2 linked regions of the Arabidopsis thaliana genome follow. The protein of the gene in region 1 interacts with the protein of each later gene in a pairwise test. Each region holds a gene or a part of one and is shown on either strand. Other genes may lie near its edges. The genes, in order: ATCSLC08 and AT3G05640.

What was found.
Region 2: the proteins of ATCSLC08 (region 1) and AT3G05640 interact in a protein complementation assay, tested with the Arabidopsis thaliana proteins (one large-scale study listed by BioGRID).

The regions. Positions count from the first base shown.
Region 1 is NC_003071.7:10,470,596-10,476,324, forward strand, and holds ATCSLC08 (Glycosyl transferase family 2 protein), read right to left. Parts: upstream 4,016-5,729; 5' UTR 3,803-4,015; exon of another isoform or gene 3,670-3,802; 5' UTR 3,390-3,669; coding exon 2,670-3,389; intron 2,574-2,669; coding exon 2,265-2,573; intron 2,160-2,264; coding exon 1,869-2,159; intron 1,790-1,868; coding exon 1,676-1,789; intron 1,602-1,675; coding exon 963-1,601; 3' UTR 601-962; downstream 1-600. Other genes in the region: UBP19 (ubiquitin-specific protease 19), read right to left, coding at 5,018-5,600, 5,722-5,729.
Region 2 is NC_003074.8:1,639,590-1,645,059, forward strand, and holds AT3G05640 (Protein phosphatase 2C family protein), read right to left. Parts: upstream 3,665-5,470; 5' UTR 3,260-3,664; intron 2,677-3,259; 5' UTR 2,639-2,676; coding exon 2,390-2,638; intron 2,117-2,389; coding exon 1,823-2,116; intron 1,730-1,822; coding exon 1,612-1,729; intron 1,513-1,611; coding exon 1,289-1,512; intron 1,213-1,288; coding exon 1,021-1,212; 3' UTR 761-1,020; downstream 1-760. Other genes in the region: PLDP2 (phospholipase D P2), read left to right, coding at 24-151, 282-516.

The sequences.
Region 1 (5,729 bases):
AAATAGCAATGAATAAAAGATAAACTAACTTTAAACAAAAGACAAACATACAACAACGTATTGTAATTTAGAGAAAAAGTGAAATAAATATTAGTTACACGAAATCCAAAAATAAAAAATCAATACTAAAATATTAACTACCTAAGAGAGATATCCAACAAGGTGACATAAAATGTAGGAGTAACATGTGATTGTTATGCTGGTGAAGATGGTGATTGTTGATGGTTATAGAGGTGGTGATAGAAAAAAATATTATTATGGAAACATATCTTATTATATAATTAATAGGATATATTTTTCGTTTATCATGAATAGTTATCAATCAAAGATTTTATCATATGTCATGATTTAAAGGAATTTTATCATCTTTATATTTTTAATGTGCCTAATTTAATACCATTTTGGTTTGATTTACCAACTTTATTATGAATATTTTATAATTTTAGTTTTTGTATAAGTATACCAAAAGTTATTGCTATGTGATGTATTTTCATTCAAATAATTTGAGTTATTGTTATATTATATATTTTTCATTCAAATATTTTTTTAATCAATAATTATAGTGGTGAAGTAAACAATACAACAATAAAAATAAATATATTTGTTTTTAGTTTTGAAAGATAATTTATACTTACAACATTGTTTTCTTTTTTTTTGCAAAAATACTTACAACATTGTTAATTATTATTTTTGCTAAATTTGATTTTAGTTATAAGAAAATAAACCCCTCCATCGGACGGGTCCTTATCTAGTATATAGTTATAAAGTGTGGCTTAAACTCTAACCTACCAATGAATAATCACAATGGAGAGAAGATACCAATCAAAACTAAAATCAATAAATGCCTACAAACTATGGCTACAACAAACGGTAATAGGTGATGTCAACTCACAGAGCTAACTGAATCTTGAATCATCATTATCTTCTTCTCCTTCTTCTTCTTCTTCTTCTACTTTGGTTTCTTAACTCATCTGCTCCCCTATGAGATCGAGACCCACAAGAAGAAAGGTGAGACCTTGGAACAATAGGAAGTAGAAATGTACTCCTTGTGAGGCCAAAAGACTCCTAACTGCTGCAGTGAGCAAAAGAAAAGCTAGCGCGAGCTCTTTGTGGAATATCTTATTGGTTTTCTTCACGGAAACCGGTTGTTTTTTCTGTTCCTCAACTTGGCTTATCTCCAAGAGCTCACTGTCTGAAACTCCTCTTAGGATTTGGTTTGGCATCTTCTCGGATTCTTTATCAGTGAGAGCTAAAAGATCAGACTCTGATGATCTTCCTGCTTTCTTTGTTACAATCCATTCGTAAGAGCTACCGAGTTGGAATAATCCAGATACCATCGCGTTGAACTTGGTGACCGACATAGTGTTCTCAAACAATAGGTAAGGGACAATGAAAGGGAAAGACTTTGGAGCAGGAAGAATGTTGAGTAGTGACATGAATATCGGTACATAGCAGATGACCCAAATAGGAAGCTCGGCTTCTGGAACGAACATGGTGATTGGAAGGATTACACAGAACAATGTGAAGGAGTAGAAAGGAAGTATGAGTTTCCTTAGAAGGAAGAATAGTAGTATCAGATTTGCTTTCTTCCACATTGCAATCTACGGGAAAACCAAAAGAGCCATTAAAATCATTGGAATGATCAAATGATTGCAAAACCATAGCTCTTATATACCTTAGAGGTCAAGATTGATCGCAGACACAAGCGAAATAGCTGCATTGGTCCCGAGTGCCATCGATGTTGCTGCTTCTTGTATGCTTCATATGACTCAGGAACTTCACAAAGAACCTAAAGATTGTTTCTACTTCAGTCAAATTTACTAAGGGCTCTTCATGAAACTGGACAAGAACACGCGATATAATCGTACCTTGACATCGTTAAGATATATGAATTTCCATCCATGAAGATGAGCCCGAACAGCTATATCCATATCCTCGACGGTTGTCCTTTCAAGCCAACCTCCAGATTCCTCAAGGGCTTTAATTCTCCATACTCCAGCAGTTCCATTGAAACCAAAGAAATTCAAGAACACCCCATTAACCTGCTGCTCAACCTCGAAATGAAAACACAGATTGATGTTTTGAAGACGGGTCAACAAGTTCTCGTCTTTGTTCACAAACGCCCACCTAGCCTGAACCAGACCTAACTCAGGCTTCTCCTGAAATAACATTGGCATTTACAAGTTAGATGCTTCACCAAAAATGGTTGTCTCATACTCTCATGACACAACCAAACAGAATTACTAATCCACCTATCTACATACCTTGAAATGTGGCACGGTTAGTTTAAGGAAATCCGAGTTAGGTTGGAAATCCGCATCGAAAATTGCAACAAACTCGTAAGCTTCCACATAATCACAGCTCATTGCAGATTTGAGGTTACCAGCTTTGTAACCAGTTCTAACCAAACGATGCCGGTAAATAATGTTGACACCCTTTTGGCTCCATTTAGTAACCTCATCTCTAATTAACTCCTGGATGCTTTCATCATCTGAATCGTCTAGAACCTGAACTAGCAGTCGATCTTTTGGCCAGTCAAGCTGACACACAGCAGATATAGATTGCTCATATACCTAAACAAGGATTAGACATTTATGTAACTTCATTAATCTAATTCAACAATGAAGCACATAACCATGTAAAAGGATTGATACTTTGTTTAACCATACCTCTCTCTCATTGCACATTGGTATCTGAACAAGAACCATTGGATACTCAGACCCTGATCCTTCAAAATCATCATTTCGAAAATGCTCTTCATCGATTCTCGGCTTAATCTTCTTAAACTTGATCCAAAGACAGCCTAAGCAAAGAATCAAACGATCTACAGACTGTACAAGGAACAGTACAATACAAAACTTTGAGAGAGCTTTGATTGGAGGAGCAATATAATCAGCTCTTAAACTCAACCAACCGACATAGAACAGATGAAGCAAGCTCTGGATCTCAAGTTTGCTTGTAGGAATGTGTAAATTAGGGTTTTTAAAGTAATGCCATCCTCTGTAATAAGCAACTAACTCAAACGCAAGAATAGCTAATGAAGCAACTAAGAAGAGCTTAATAGCTGAGAAAAGCCATCCGTCTCTACCAAGTCTCTCAGAGCCTAGTGGATGAGTGAAACTGAGCCGTCTCTTGACTGAACCAAGAAGAGACCAGAACACTGTAGCGACCCAAGTGAGACATCCAACAGCTTTGTGAGCTTTAAGAAGCAAAACCCAAGTCACTTGCTTAGCGTTCTTGCCTCTACTCTTCTCCATTGGTTGAAATGCAGAGTCTGGTTCCTCTACTTCAACTATTGAGTAATTTGGATTCTCCATTTTCACCACTACTGGTGTACCTCTCCTTGTTTCCTTGGCCCATAAATCTGAAAAATCAAACCTTGGAGCCATATTTCAAAGCTCAAGACCCAAATCTGGAAGAAGAAGTAGTTGAATCTCTTGATTAGAGTTTAAGACCCAAATCTCAAAGTTGGAAGATTTAAGCTAAACCCATCTTGAGAAACCTAAAGGTAGCGACTTTGAGTGAGTAAATCTTCAGACTTCAGGTTAAAGACCAAGACTTTGTAAGAAATTTGAACAACCCAGATCCAAGAACTAGGATATCTAAAGACCCACTTTTAAACAACAGACAGAGAAGCAGCAACAGCTCAAAGGGGTCATTAATAGTGACCTGCGAGAGAGAGTACAGACAATGAGTGGTTTGGGCAAGTGAGAGAGAGAAAAGATTGATACTTGGCAATGGTAGAGATAAAAGAGAGAGAGAAGAGGAAGAAAAGAATCAAAGAAGTTGTAAGATCCCTTACACTTTCATGTGAATGTTTCCTCTTCAGCTAACCCTCAATGATGGCTTCAACATCCAAATTCATCTCTTTTTTCCAAAAAGAAAGCTTAACATTTCATGAATCTTTCTCATAGAGTAGCTTTTTTGAAAAACAACTTTTAGAGAAAGGCTAGTAAAGAGGAAAAGAAATCAATGGATAGAAAAATTCAAAATGGTAGTGACTAGCTGATTATAATGGGCTAGTAATCTAAAAAGGGTACAAGCTTTAAAAGCAATTTTACTTGAACTTATAAGAAGATTTTGCAATTATGGAAAAAAAAAATCTAGTTATAGGCAATTGCATTTAATCTCTGTTTACATTTTATGTAGCTGATAAACACACATATTCACAAACTTAACTCTTCATCAAATGGGCAAAAGGCCCCAAATCACATAAAGAGATAACAAACAAATATGTGTATTATCGACCATGATCATTCTACTTGGAAAACATATTTTTTTCGTCATTCAGATTGATGATTGAAAGATTTAGTTAAGAGACGATATAACCTTACCGTTTCGCTCATTATGCATGTTTTGCCGCGTTTATTTTGTTTCTACTATTCAAAGTCTTAATAGTTATAAGATTGAATTAGTATTGGTATTACCAAGTTATCATCGACAATGATAGTTCTATTTGGAAAATATGCTTTTGTGATTGAAAGTGATTAAAAATGACTTCAAAGTTGAGGTTACCGTAAAAGTTTAAATTCTCTTTCAACATTTTTTTCATTTGTTCTTAACTTGTTCGGCTCGTTATGCACATTTTCCCACATTAAGTACTATATAAAACTAGCCGAACAAACAAACAAAATAACTTGAATCAACCACAAAGTTGACAATGTGGTCCTCCATTAGTCTTTCAAGCTATGAGAGCTTTTGGGTTCAATTGTATTTTAACAGAGAAATAAAAATCAAAAGAATAACTTAACCGATCCTGAAGTTTCTATCTCATATGACTAATAAAGTACCAATCCTGGCTTTGTAAGCTCTATAGTTCTCACCAGTACGAACCCTAAAAATTTCTTCTAGATATGGAAAACTCCAGGATCCAACAAATTCTATATATCCTTCAGACACCAGAAATTGCAGTGTCTAAAGCAATTTTTTTGCAGCATTATTGTTAAGTTAGAAGCGCCCTTGTTGATTTTCAAGAGCCATGAAAAATGTTTGTGATTCCACCACCATCCCTTTAGAATCATTGAGCATCGATCATCTCGGTGTCTGAATGTTCTTTCTCCAGGGGTTTGGACTCGCTGTCTAAATGTTCTTTCTCCAGCGGTTTGTTGGACTCGGTGTCTGAATGTTCTTTCTCCAGAGGTTTGGACTCGGTGTCTGAACGTTCGTTCTCCTGAGGTATGAACTCTGTAGCAGCAGATGGAGATGGAGTAGTAATGTCCAAACAAGAAGAATCAACAGCCAGATTTTCAACCGTTGGATCTTCTTTCCCATTTGCTTCTTCTTCTTGATGATCTGTTCCAGAATCATGTTCCATGTCAATAGAACGGTTTGATTCAGAATCTACTGTATCAACCTTTACGTCAACTTCCTTTCCTTCTTCAGAGACTGGTACGGATGCTGACAATGATGATTCTTTTTCGTATTCAGGGTCTTCTGAATGTGAGATGATGCCGTTACACAGCGAGGACACACTTGTGTCATTTGTTCCCACCCCGGAACTCTCAACAGAGCCATCTTGGTTAGATTCTGTGTTCAATGTATCTGTTTTCTTCTCATCTTGACTTTCTTCGGATCTAAGATTTGATGGTCTGGGCTGAACCCTGCACCAATACCAGATATCGTAATCTGTTAAAGCTCCTTCGCTTAATACAGTCCTAGAAAATTCACAAACTCTGCAATAGGATATATATTCTTCTTGTCAAGAAAAATGAAAGGCTCTACCTGCTGTA
Region 2 (5,470 bases), on another chromosome or scaffold:
TTGATTTTGTTTTTTGTGTTTAGATTCAGAAGATCGAAGATCCAATCAAAGATGCAACATACAAAGACTTATGGATGGCAACAGCTAAGAAAAACACGGACATCTACAACCAAGTCTTCTCGTGCATCCCGAATGAACATATACGCTCAAGGTTCATACGTCATCCCTTTTTAACTAAATCTCCATAACTTTAGTGATTAAAGATACGTAACTACGTTGGCTTTTTAAACGCAACTGAGAGATGATCAAATCTGCTTCTGACTTTGTCTTTCTAAACACAGAGCTGCATTGAGACACAATATGGCTCTTTGTAAAGACAAGTTGGGTCACACTACGATCGACCTTGGCATTGCACCGGAGAGGCTAGAATCATGCGGCAGCGACTCGTGGGAGATTCTGAAGGAGACAAGAGGGAACCTTGTGTGCTTCCCATTACAGTTCATGTGTGATCAAGAAGATCTCAGACCAGGTTTCAACGAATCTGAGTTCTACACTGCTCCTCAAGTCTTCCACTAACCACTATTTATTGTACGCCCAGTTCTCTTTAATCAGTTAATAGAGTACCTAAGCTCACACGTTACTTATGTATAGAGATGTTAGTTATATAGAAAGAAGAAATTCATTTGATTGCTTCCTAGGTTCGCAGAGGTATGTGTGTGTATAGTATACACTTCTTGTAAATCATAATGTTTATGTGCCTCAAGCTGTACAATACATCTTCAATTGCGGATATGTTCTTACAACTTTGGAGTTGATATATGTTTGATTCTTGTTCCAAAAGCTTGTTTCCTCATCACATGTTTCATAATAACTTAAGAAGTTTCCCACTTTTTAAATGATTATTAAAATTACAAGTAACCAATTGTGTTCTTTAGATTGTGATAGGACTCTGGTTTGGCAAGAAAGTAATATTCAATGCGATTTTACGCAAGTCTATCTACATTGCAGCATTTTTTCTTTTCTTGCCCGGTCCAAAAGTACTAGTACCTACTTGCAGGTCGTGGCATGGAGAAGATGTTGCTATAGAGATGGCGACGACGATGAAGAATGGAAGAAGAGGCACACGGCAGAGATATCATCCATGGCGATTCCGCGTCTCTTTCTATTCCAAGCCCTAACTGCTTGCTGTACCAGTCGCTTGGCAGCTTTTGCCCGCTCCGCCGTCGAGGAAACAATATCTATGGCCTCTTGGTTTGATATCACATCCCATACCTATAATGTTTCAATTACATGACTACGCTGCCAATATAAACTAACAAAACAAAGTTGCTTATTCAAATGTTCTTACCCCATCAGTGGCCAAGATTATAAACTGGTCTCTAATGGATATATGCCTCTGAGTGACTTCAGGCACTGAGACCAATCCGTAATCTTTGATACAATAGTCTCCGAATGCTCTTGACATTGCGAGCCCCGGAGATTCATCTACTGGTTGCCATACACGGTGGACCCCTGGCTCATCTTGAAGGCAAAATACTCTCCCGTTGCATCCGATTATCCGCTCTTCCTCCTCTGTTTTAATAAGAAACAAAATTTGAAAGATAAAGATTCAGAACTGCTTAGCTAAATGCACTGAGATTTACATGATTTATTTATGCTTATGGAACTAACGAGGCAGGTTTGGCTTGAAATCTACGGTGAGCTGAACCGCGACCAAGCTTCCTTCGTCTGAAACTGTGGCCAATACCGCACGTGAATCCCCGACGTTTGCTATATAAATAACATCACCCTGTAGCAAGAAACCACTTAAGGATTAATGAACAGAGTAGCCTTTTTACAAGATTTTCTTCATATGAGGTAATGAATCTGATGCTCCATTTACCTGTCTCACAATGGTTAGAGCGGTCGTACCGCTGTTGAAAGAATCTATCTTTCGGTGATGCTCAAGCTCCAGATCAACAGCTTCACAGGTTTTGAGGAATGAGTATTTCCAGATTGCAAACCGCTGTAGCTCTTTATCGGGTTCTGCTATTGTGGTCTGAGAAAGAGTCTCTTTCCAGTTACAGAGCAAAGATATAGGCATTGAGTTTCTGACTTGTTTAGAAACAAAGTGTCCCCAGGGACCATGTCCATCGAATATCCCACAGAATATCATGTCTTCTTGACACCCATATCCCTGTTTCAGAAATTGTCAAAACATGATGAACAAATATTCGCAAATCAGTGTTTAAAGACCGTAATATCGGATAACTTAAAATCAACGGTAGAAGCATATAATGCGTTAAACTTAAGATCTTTGGACTGGTGATAATAACCCTAGATACAGAGGAGCATCCAAAACAAGCTAGAGGCACACGCACACGAAGCGAATTGTGCTAAGTAAACGCCAAAGACTGCAAAAGTTCCAAATAACCCAGCTCTAAGATAACTTTTTGTAGAAGTAATGTACCTCCCAGACGATGGCACAGTCCTGATTAACGCCTTTCTCACCGCGTCTAGAGAAAACAGAAGCCAAGTTATTAGATCCATCTGCATTAATGCAACCAGAGGATCTCAAAATAAGTTCCTTCTTCTTCGCCTCTCTCGCCATTTCATCTGTGGCTTCCTTAGCGTAGCTTTTGCTGCTGTTGATGTTCTTCGCTTTCTTGATCGAGAAGGATCTAGCTATACCGTTGAACATGGAAGAGAAATGTCCCATTTTGTCCAGAAAGTGAAAATATCATATGATCTTGAACTCTGTAAATGATAAATTCATAGAGTTTCAGATAGTTGCATTATATCAAAGAGCAAGAGGGAGATAAAATAATGTCAAAGTAGGAAATTCGTTTTTTGAGATTCGTTTTCCCGGGAAAAAAACAGGGGATAAAATATAAATTTGAGGTATTTAAAACAGTTATAAGGACAATAATGATTATAAGAGAATATTCATATCTGACTTGGAATTCCATTAACACAAGCTCTAACATTCCTCTAGAGTTATAAAATATATAATAACTTGTACGTAATATAGAGAATAATAATGGATATGATCTCAACTTGAAGTCAAATCGAGTTTTCTCTTTTAAGAAAACATATTTGGAGATAACTTATCATTATAGAAATCAAGTTGCAAGATTCGGAAATTGGAAATTGAAAATCAAGTTAAACAATCTGGAAATTGGAAACCCTTTGCCTAATTTTTGTGAAAACAAGATTTTCTTGTTTTTGAAATTTAAGCTTTTTAATCTACAAAAATAAAATAAGAACTGTGAAACAAATATTGTTGAATTGCACCAAAAATGTTTTCAAAAAGTAAATCAATTTCACAACAAGAACGTACAGAGAGAGGGACTAGGAGGAAGTGACGTGATACACACACACCAGATAGATTACGCAATGCTGCTGAGGAATGGAAGGAAAAAGAAGTGAAGACCGGATATAGATGACGTAAGCTCGGAGAAAGTGACGTAACCATCCAAGGGAGAGGAAGCTAATGGAGTAGAGAAAGATAGACTCACAAATCAGAAATCACAATCCATTTTATGATGATCACGGTGGGTAGACACAGGGAAGAACCAAACTTAGATATTTCTCTAAATTTATTTATTTATGGGGTTCTCCCTCTGTTCCCCTCTTATTTTCTTGTGGCATGATAATAAAGGCAGAGACGTAGCAAGACATAGTCTTTTGTCGTTAGTGGGTTATATATCTATTTATTATAAATCCTAAATTCCTAATGCAATTTAACTTAATTATTGGTTAGGGAAACTAGATATATGTTTGTGAAAACGAAAAAATTGATAGCAAATTTACTGCTCGTGTGATATTTAAGTTTGGTACTAGTAAACAGTGATGCAATATGACAAAATGATCCAACCTATAGGCTAAAATGTAGGGTGAAAAATATCACAAATTTGAAAAGTTAGGTATTTGTATAAATAGTACATAAATGGCTACAGTGTTAAAAGCAAAAGTCAATAATGAATCTGTGATTATAACTATCTTTTGAGTTTTTTTTTGGTCAAGAAATGAAATTCTATCTTCGAGTTAATGACTAGTCTAGTAGATAACAATGTAGATGTTTTCGCGTAAGTGATCAGTATATCAAAATAGGCCAATTTAGACTTTATTGTTTCTTTTCATAAACTTTGGTAATTAAGTTCAATAATGCAAAAAGATTGTTTCCGTAACGGGAAAAAATCAATTAGAAAATAAATGGCGTTGGCCTTTGAGCATACAAACCGAATAAAGTTCCGAAGATCGTAGCCATACACGTTTAACATGAAGATTCTAAATTATGAAAATTTTAAATAATGTCAAAAGGTCCATGCTTGTATACCTACCTCGAAACTAAAAAAAAATAAAAATAAAGTGAAACCAAATTTTGAGATTTTAAATTACGCAGTCTATATATCTCATGAAAAACCGAAAATAACAAAAATTTAGGTAGATTCGGTATTACCATCTAACCTTAGGGTTACATACTCTAGGCTCTAGCTATTATCAAAAGATTTCCATTAAAATAGTAACCCGAATCGAAAACCGTAACGTCACAGATTTGCAATTAATAAGACGCCGTGACGAAACTGTACTACAAGAAGCCTTTTCCCACAAGTGTATAGCGGACTAGCGGTGAGTGGACCCAGAGCGATGACCTGTTTGATGTGGTCGGCAACGATGGTGCAAAACAAAATCTTTGCATTGTCTCACGTAATTTAGAACTAATTACCACAAATGCCATTCAGGGTTGCGAAAGACCACCATATTTAAGATGATATTTCTGGCACGTGGGACAGAGCAACAAAGGATTCAGAGGAGAGCCTTTCGGTTTGAGGGCCAGACGCCGGTCATATCACAATTGAATGTGGAGGTTTCAGAGTAATATTTTTTTCGTTAGAAAAGTTAAAATTGGCAAAAGAGGCACGTGAGAACCACATTGATTAGTTCGGTCCTTGTAGGGTCCATGTTAGCGAGCACAATCTAAAAAAGGATCATGCCATTCGTCTGATTGACGCGTGGTTACCAGCAATCGCATGTGGGACGGTGCACCGGATAATGACACTTTCTTTGTGACTTTGTGTGCCGTGGCCTCTCGTTCCACTCCCACCCAGTCCCAACATGACCATTTTTCTTGTTATTTTATTGCTAGTTTTTTTTTTTTAATCCATAGAGAACATCATCTGATCTTAATCATAATAATCAATAATCATTGGAGTGGACTATGGAAATGTTAGTATGTTGAGTGGCTTTTAATTGGTTGTTAGTTGTAAGAAAATGATAAATAGTTTATTATCCAGTTGATACTTGATACAGTATCTAGAAGACTAGAAGCATCATAATTGCAATCATTACAAGGCGATAGTCTTTTTGTCCATTTTTTGGTTGAAAATTCAATTAATTGCGCATTATCTTCCTAAGATTTGGATCAAGATCAACTCAAGCAATGATTAGTCGTGCCACCCCCAAAAATGATTACGTACATGAAGAAAAACAAGTGAGATCTAGTGTATATTCATTAGGACGAAAGCCAGAAATATAAACGAAAATCAAA